2 linked regions of the Callithrix jacchus genome follow. The protein of the gene in region 2 purifies or fractionates together with the protein of the main gene of each other region. This does not show direct contact. Links are inferred from orthologs where the notes say so. Each region holds a gene or a part of one and is shown on either strand. Other genes may lie near its edges.

Region 1 (3,650 bases), on a different chromosome or scaffold from region 2:
AAAGTGGGGTCTTGCTGTATTGCCTACGCTGCTTTTGGATTTGAACTCTTAGGCTCAGTTCGTTCTCCTGCCTCCGCCTCCCAAAATGCTGGCTTGACGGGTGAGCCACCACACCTGGCTGATACCTTTGCTTTCCTACAAGAGGCCTGTGTCCTAGATGCATTGCAATATGAAAATGAGAAGGACGGTGACCCTCAGATGGCTCGTCAGGACCTCCGTCTTCGTTCTGGAAGGAATTTTGGTTTTTGAGTCATAGTCTCACCCTGTTGCCCAGGCTGGAGTGCAGTGGCATGTAATAGCTCATTGTAACCTTGAACTCCTGAGCTCCGGTAATCCTACCTCAGCCTCCAGAGTAGCTGGAACTGTAGGCGTGTACCACCGTGCCTGGCAGTTTTGTTGTTGTTGTTGTTGAAAGGAATGAGCTGTTACTGGGCTTCCATTTATAATTGGGTCAGGGCTTGGTCTCTCCGAGGTCCCACCTTACATACTGGTTTCCCCAATTACGACTACCAGGGCAATTATGACAAGAAGGGGACTTCGTATTTTTTTGAGACAGAGTTTCACTCTGTCACCCAGGCTGGAGTGCAGTGGTGCACTGTCTCAGCTCACTGCAAGTTCTGCCTCCTCGGTTCAGGTGATTCTCCTGCCACAGCTGGAATTACAGGTGTGAGCCACCATGCCCACCTAGCTTCTTTGTATTTAGATGTGCTGAACTCAGGTTTGTTACATAGGTGTACACATGCCGTGGTGATTTGCTGTATGCTTTCTTGTGTTTTTAGTAGAGACGGCGTTTTACCATGTTGGCCAGGTCAGTCAGAGTTTGCTTTGCCCATTTAGAAGCTTTTCAGGGGATTACTTAGTGGGTAAGATTTTTTGATGTTTTTTTTTTTGCAGACTAGATTGATGGGATGGAGTGATACTGAGCGGGAGTGGCAAGAATTGAGAATGAGTAATGGTTTCTGGTTTTCTCGCTTTAAAACTGGGCTAGTGGGGTGGCATTCTGTGAGGAACTGCTTGGGTGGCAACAAGTTTATGTGGGACTAGAAGTGGTTTCGTGTTGGCCGCATTCCAGGAAAAGTGCAGGGACCTGGGTGTAGTTGATATGAATGATTGGGGGACTGCTGGGGCACGCCAGGGTCCAGTTTGTTTAACATGCTTTGTCATTTTACTTCAGTTGGAAAGTTTCGAAAATTAAACTAATTTAAAATCGTATAATTAGCCAGACATGGTAGCTAACACCTGTAATCCTAGCACTTTGGGAGGCCAAAGCGGGCAGATTGCCTGAGCCCAGGAGTTTGAGACCAGCCTGGGCAATGTGGCCAAACCCCATCTCTACAAAAATGCAAAAAAAATTAACTGGCCTGGTTGTGTGCCCCTGTAATCCATCTACTCGGGATGCTGAGGTGGGAGGATCATTTGAGCCCAGAAAGTTGAGGCTACAGTGAGCCGAAACTGTACCACTGCACTGCAGCCTGGGCAGCAGAGTGCCCTGTCACAGTGAACAAATGATCAGAGCAGAAGAGAGGCACAAATGCCAGTGAGAGTCCAGTTCTTCATGCTTTTCCCTCGTTTTCACCTACCAGCAGTAGTTCCAGAGTGTTAAACATTATTTGAGAGTCAGTGCTTAAATTAAGGACCTTAGCTGTGGTTCTGTTTAACCCCGGAGACTGGTCCTTTGGGATGCAACGCAGTTGTTCTAGTAACTGCCAGCCCAGTGATACCTGTGTGAGAACTGCCTATTGTTCTGTGCAGTGTGATGTTGGAGGGTAAGTCATGCGCTTAGACTTAGGACTCTGATCATGTGAATGAGTATTCAAGATGCAGGACCCAGGGCCTTGCCCCAGGGTAGATTATTTGGGTCTGTGATGAGGCCAGGAATCTGTTCTTCAGTCCGCATGATTGTGACACATAGTTCTGATGGGTTAAAAACAGGGATTTCTCTTCTGACTTATAGAAGTTATACATACAAACTAAAATATTTTTTAAAACATGGAAAAGGATTGAAAGACAGACTCATCGTTGGCCTGACTCTAAGACAAACTTGTGTTATCTATGGTCTGTGTTTCTCCAGTGTGCCAAGTGGATCCCACGTGGCACTGAATATTCTTGGACAGTGCGGTGATGCATAGGCTGTATTTGAACTTGCATCGTGTAGTTTTCAGTTTTACGGATCTATCGATGGACACTCCAGCATGAATACTTGATTAGGATAAATTTTTTTTCCCTCTTTTGGTAAGATAGAGTCTTGCTCTGTTGCCCAGGCTGGAGTGCAGTAGTGCAGTCATAGCTTCCTGCTGCCTTGACCTCCCAGACTCAAGTGATCCTGCTGCATCAGCCTCCCGAGTAGCTGGGACTACAGGTCAGCTGCACACCATCATGCCTGGCTATTTTAGGAAGTTTTTGGTAGAGAGGGGTCTTGCTCTATTGCTCGGGCTGCTCTTGGAGTCCTGCCCTCAAGCAAAATCCTCCCACCTTGGCCTCCCAAAGTGGTGGTATCACAGGCATCAGCCACTGCGTCCCGCCTGAAGGATAAATTCTTAAAGGTAGAATTACTGGGTCCAAAGAACATTTTCAGTATTTCTGCCCTTAAGAAAGATGAATCAGTTAGAGGGCTTCTTAGCCCTTAGCCTCATAAAACCTAGGTGTTTTGTTTTGGTATTAATTGCCAATTTGGTAAGGAATAGATGAGTGCTTTTAAATGTTTACATTGTTTCGGATATTTTATGAGATTGAACCTGTCTTCGTGTTGGACAATTTGTGTTTATTCTTTCATGAATTGTCTTTTCTGCATCCTCCTGTACCCTTTTTTACTGTTGGGATGTTCAACCTTAATGATTTTTAAGAGGTCTTGTTCATGGTAAGGGTGTTAGTTCTGCCAACCTGAATTTATTTTAATAGAATTGAAAAGCATGCTTCCTTACTTTGCAGGCATGAGGATGTTGTCTTTCTTATTCCCTTTTTTAGTTTACCTAAAGCAGTAAAAAGAAGAATTAATGCATTGAAACAACTTCAGGTGAGGTGTGCTCATATAGAAGCCAAGTTCTATGAAGAAGTTCATGACTTGGAAAGAAAGTATGCAGCATTATACCAGCCTCTCTTTGACAAGGTAGGGGCTCTGTTAATGAGGTTAATATGCAGACGGTGTTATGTTCTGATAAACCCAGTATAAGTTGACAACATCTAGGGCAAAAAGGCATCTCACCTACCGGATGTAGCTTAGTCTGGACTACCTTAAACGAGCCCAGAACACTTTGACCTTCCACAAACCTGTTTTATAATAAAGTGCTGAGTATCTCGTGTCCTTTACTGAACACTCCACCGAGAGTAGAACACAGTGTGGCTCTGTGGGTGCCCGAAGTTTGGTAGCTTCTGCACCATTGTGAAGTTGAAAGTCTTTAGTCGAAGCATTGGAAGTTGGGGAGCATCTTTATTTTAGATCTTTAGGTGAAACATCCAGAGTTACCCAGGGAAACATTGAGTATTTTTCTTTGAACGCTAAGATTTAGAATCTTAAAATATTTGTAAAAATAAGCAGTTTTCAAAGTCGTTTTATAGACATTATTTATACATTTAACTCTTGAGTTTCCAAATAAGCTAATAACATAATCCTAATAAGGCCTCATTTTTATGTAGAGAAGAGAATTTATCAC
Region 2 (3,750 bases):
GAGCCTGGGCAGCTGTACTCTCAGGCTCAGGTTCATCTGCTGGGGCCTGAGAGGCAGCAGCCTCAGTCTCCTGGGCCTTTGCATTGACCTTCGTATCAGCCACACAGCTGGCCTTTTTGGTGTCAGTGGCAGGCATTGTCACAGCCTGTGGGTCAGCATTCTGCTTCTTGGTGTCAGCTGCTGGACTCTTGTTTTCAGCTGCCAGAACCGGGGTATCAGTCAGCTGAGTAGTAGATGAGGCCTGGGTGGCAGGTGCCTCCTGAGCCTCTGGGGTCTTTGAGACCTCTGTGGCCTTTGTGACCCCAGAGGCTTTTGAGACCTTCACATCCTCTGAGACCTCTGGTGCCTTTGAGGCCTTCGGTGTCTCTGGGGCCTCCACATTCTGGGTCACTGTCAATTGAGTCTGCATCGTCAAGCTACTGTCCTTTTCTGAAGCTTCAGCCTGCAAGAGGAAGCAGGGAAGTTCACGGATCTTCTTCCCACCCCCAACTAAGCAAATGGCCCAAAATTCTAAGGCCACACTTCTCTGACCTGTACTGACTCCTACCGGTGTGCTCTGACCACCTCAACCCAACAAGGCCTCCCTTTCCTCTGAGCAAAAACTGATGGCAGAAAAGGGGCCCGCCCACCTTCTCACCCTCCCTCCACTGGGCAGGGGGACACCCAGGCAGTAAAGTAGGTGGAGAAAGACAAGGATGGGAGGGTGGCAACAAGGGCTGGAGAGGAAAACAGTTGGGAAAAGGACAGAAAGAGGCCTTACCTGGAAGCGAGTTACACCCGCACCACTCTCGCTTGTGTCAGACATGTCTCAATTTGGCCTGGCAAGAAAGAGCTGAGCCTGAAGGGGAGAAGGCCTGGGTCAAATTGAAGCCCACTGAACGTCCTCTCCCCTGTTGTGCCTGGAGGCTGATCCTCACCCTCCGTAGGTCCCCAATTCCAACCCCCTCCACCACCCCCAATGACTCTGTTCTCAGTCAGATACAGGAATCCAAAGCGTCTAAGTCTCAATTCTCTGCAGCCGCACCCTCCCCTTTCTCCAGGAAGATGTGCCAGCGCGGCAGCTCTGAGGACCCCGCCCCTTTTCCCAGTGCACCCCCCACCCAGCTGCAGGTCGATAGAGCGCATGCGCGTCGGCTGCGGGGCCGATCTCAGCCCCGCCCGCTTTCGCACGAGCCCTTTCTTTGATGTCCACCGTGCACATGCGCATTCAGCAGCTGGCTCGTCTCAGGGCTGGCCCTACTCAACACGCCCCTTTCTAGCGATACATACTGCGCATGCGCGATGGTCGTGGTCTCAGCCTGGCACTCTACCCCAACACACGCCCCTCTCCGGGTCCGCAGTACCAATCGGTCCCGCCCCCTCCCCAACAAGCCTTCCTCCAAAATTGTCGCAGTGTTTGGTGGTCCCGGCCCCTCCCCTACTCACGCTCTACCAAGTCGTGTCTCTTGGCCCCGCCCTTCTTCCTAACACGCCCCCCTCCAAACAGGCGCATCTTGGTTCCGCTCCTTCCCTATTACACCCCTTCCTCAAATAAATATTGAGCTAGCGATTCCATCTTGGGCCCGGCCAAGCCGGGTCCAGTCCCCTCCCTTCTCAGCCGGATGGATCCGGTACGATCCGGTCCTTATGGCAGGTTTTCTCCAAATCCCAGAGGGTGGGGCCGACCCCTAGCGGGGCTCTCATCCAAAAGACGACCCGGCTGCTCACCTCGTCCTCCTACGATTCCCGAGTGCGTCCACTCACTCCAAGCCCCTCCGAAACTCGGAGACTGCCCTCCCCGCTCTAGGCCGGAAGTGGTCCCGCCCCTTTCCGCCTCCCTAGGGGGCCTCCGTCCCAGGCTGTCTGCCCCTCCCCCGCTCCCTGCTCCTCATTCCTTTTGCCCCCCTCCGTATTCCCTTAGCCTCGCTCCCTACTCCCTACTCCCACTTAACATTTCCTATTTACTCCACAGAATTCCCTCTTCCCATTCCTTACATCCTCCTCCGTGTGACGTTTGCACATCCTGCCCCTCAGTATTCCTTAACCCCTCTCTGCATCCCTGATTAACTCTTCTCAGGATCTTCACTCCCGCTCAGTGTTCTCCTCCCCGTTTGCATTCCTCATCCCCCTCCCAACATTCCCGGTTCCCCGTTTTTCTCCCCTCCTCCTCCGCTAGTCTCTGCTCCCAGTCTGTGCAGCCTACTACTTTCTCAGTCGTCCTCATTGCCTACACCCCACTCCAGGTCACCTCTGCTTCAGCTGCAGTGGTGCAGTAAGAATTGCTCATCTGCCCGGCTATGGGTTCGAGAGGTCTGGAACCATTAACTGACCGCCGTAAAACCCCGATCTCAACGCCCCTCACCTTGTCCTCCAGCGAGTTCGGGATGCGTCTGCCTTCTCTCAGTCCCTCTCGAAGTCTCAGCCTCCTGGACTAGAGCTGCAGACAGCCCAACCCAGCCCAGCCCCTTTCCGCAGCCCCCTGCCACCCCCCCTCGCCTTCCTCGGGGGTGGGGCAGTGAGGCCCCGCTCAGGGCTGTCTGACGCCAAAGCCCATGTTTATGCCACTGTACCAGGCTCAGTCTGAAGCTCTTCCAACCCAAACCGCCCCCTGAAAGCAAGTCATTCATTGAATGTATTTATTTTTATATCTTCATATTTTCGTATTACAAAGGTAATATGTTGTTGTTTTGTTGTTGTTGTTGTAAAAATTCAAACAGTGCAGAAATGTGTAACATACCTATGAAAGGCCACTCTTATCTCCCAGAAATAACCACTATTAACATTTTGCTATGCAGACTTTTTCTGTTCATATACTTATTATTCAGGTTCTCTCTCCAACAGACGGTCCACTGTACATATTTTTTCCAGTTATAGATCTTTCCATTAGTGCACATTTTTCTAAACAGCTGCATGATCTTTTCTTGTATAGATGTCCCATAATTTATTGAACCAGTCCAATACACATATACATTTGGGGCACTTTTTTTGTTGTTATTTATGGTATTTTTTTGCTAGCTCAAATGCTACAAAAAAGTCTTCCATTTTGACACAAAATGTCTCAATTTATTCCTAAAAAGTACATGGAATAACATTCCCACCAACAATGTCTCTTGTGTACGTGTTACATATTAGAAATATTTTTCATGTCATTTTATGATAACTTTTGCCAAACAAAAATGTTTAATTATTATGTAGTCAAATATATCTGTTTTTCCTTTATCACAACTGGCTTCTGCTGCTTGCTTAAAGATGCTTTTCACACTCCTATAACAATCCCCATTTTTTTTCAAACACTTTTACAGCTTTATTATTTACGTTTAGATGTTTGATCATTTCAAAATTTATTTTCTATACGGATGCAGCTTGATTACTCCCCAAAATCATAGTCTCTTACCCCTACATCATGTGCAAACTAATCCATCTTTTCCCTCTCTGCTTTGAGATGGCACCTCTACCCATTGGGAGAGCCTTTGAAATGGCTCTCTATCCATGAGAGCCCCACTAGGGGTAGGCCCCATCCTCTGGGATCTGGAGAAAACCTGCCATAAGGACCTGATCTTACCGATCCACATAATAAATTTACATAAGCAATTGGATCTATTCAAGAGAACAAAATAAGATGTGAAATAATAGGAAGTAGACAAATCATCCTTAATTACTGACTATATAACTGCAGACCTGGAAAACCCAAGAGCATCAACTAAAAAGTTATTAGAAACCATTGTAAAATTCAGCACAATGGTTAGTTGCAGAAATAATATTCAATACCTT

What was found.
Region 1: the proteins of MAGED2 (region 2) and NAP1L4 purify together in Homo sapiens (affinity purification with mass spectrometry; 3 studies listed by BioGRID and IntAct, counting the BioPlex papers as one, with this or other methods). This does not show direct contact. The link is inferred for Callithrix jacchus from reciprocal best matches to the Homo sapiens genes MAGED2 and NAP1L4.

The regions. Positions count from the first base shown.
Region 1 is NC_133511.1:128,874,304-128,877,953, forward strand, and holds part of NAP1L4 (nucleosome assembly protein 1-like 4), read left to right. Parts: intron 1-2,964; coding exon 2,965-3,106; intron 3,107-3,633; coding exon 3,634-3,650. UniProt on the Homo sapiens protein: Acts as a histone chaperone in nucleosome assembly.
Region 2 is NC_133524.1:55,099,062-55,102,811, reverse strand, and holds the start of MAGED2 (melanoma-associated antigen D2), read right to left. Parts: upstream 2,400-3,750; 5' UTR 2,342-2,399; intron 2,211-2,341; exon of another isoform or gene 1,975-2,210; intron 1,764-1,974; exon of another isoform or gene 1,708-1,763; intron 839-1,707; 5' UTR 806-838; coding exon 761-805; intron 443-760; coding exon 1-442. UniProt on the Homo sapiens protein: Regulates the expression, localization to the plasma membrane and function of the sodium chloride cotransporters SLC12A1 and SLC12A3, two key components of salt reabsorption in the distal renal tubule.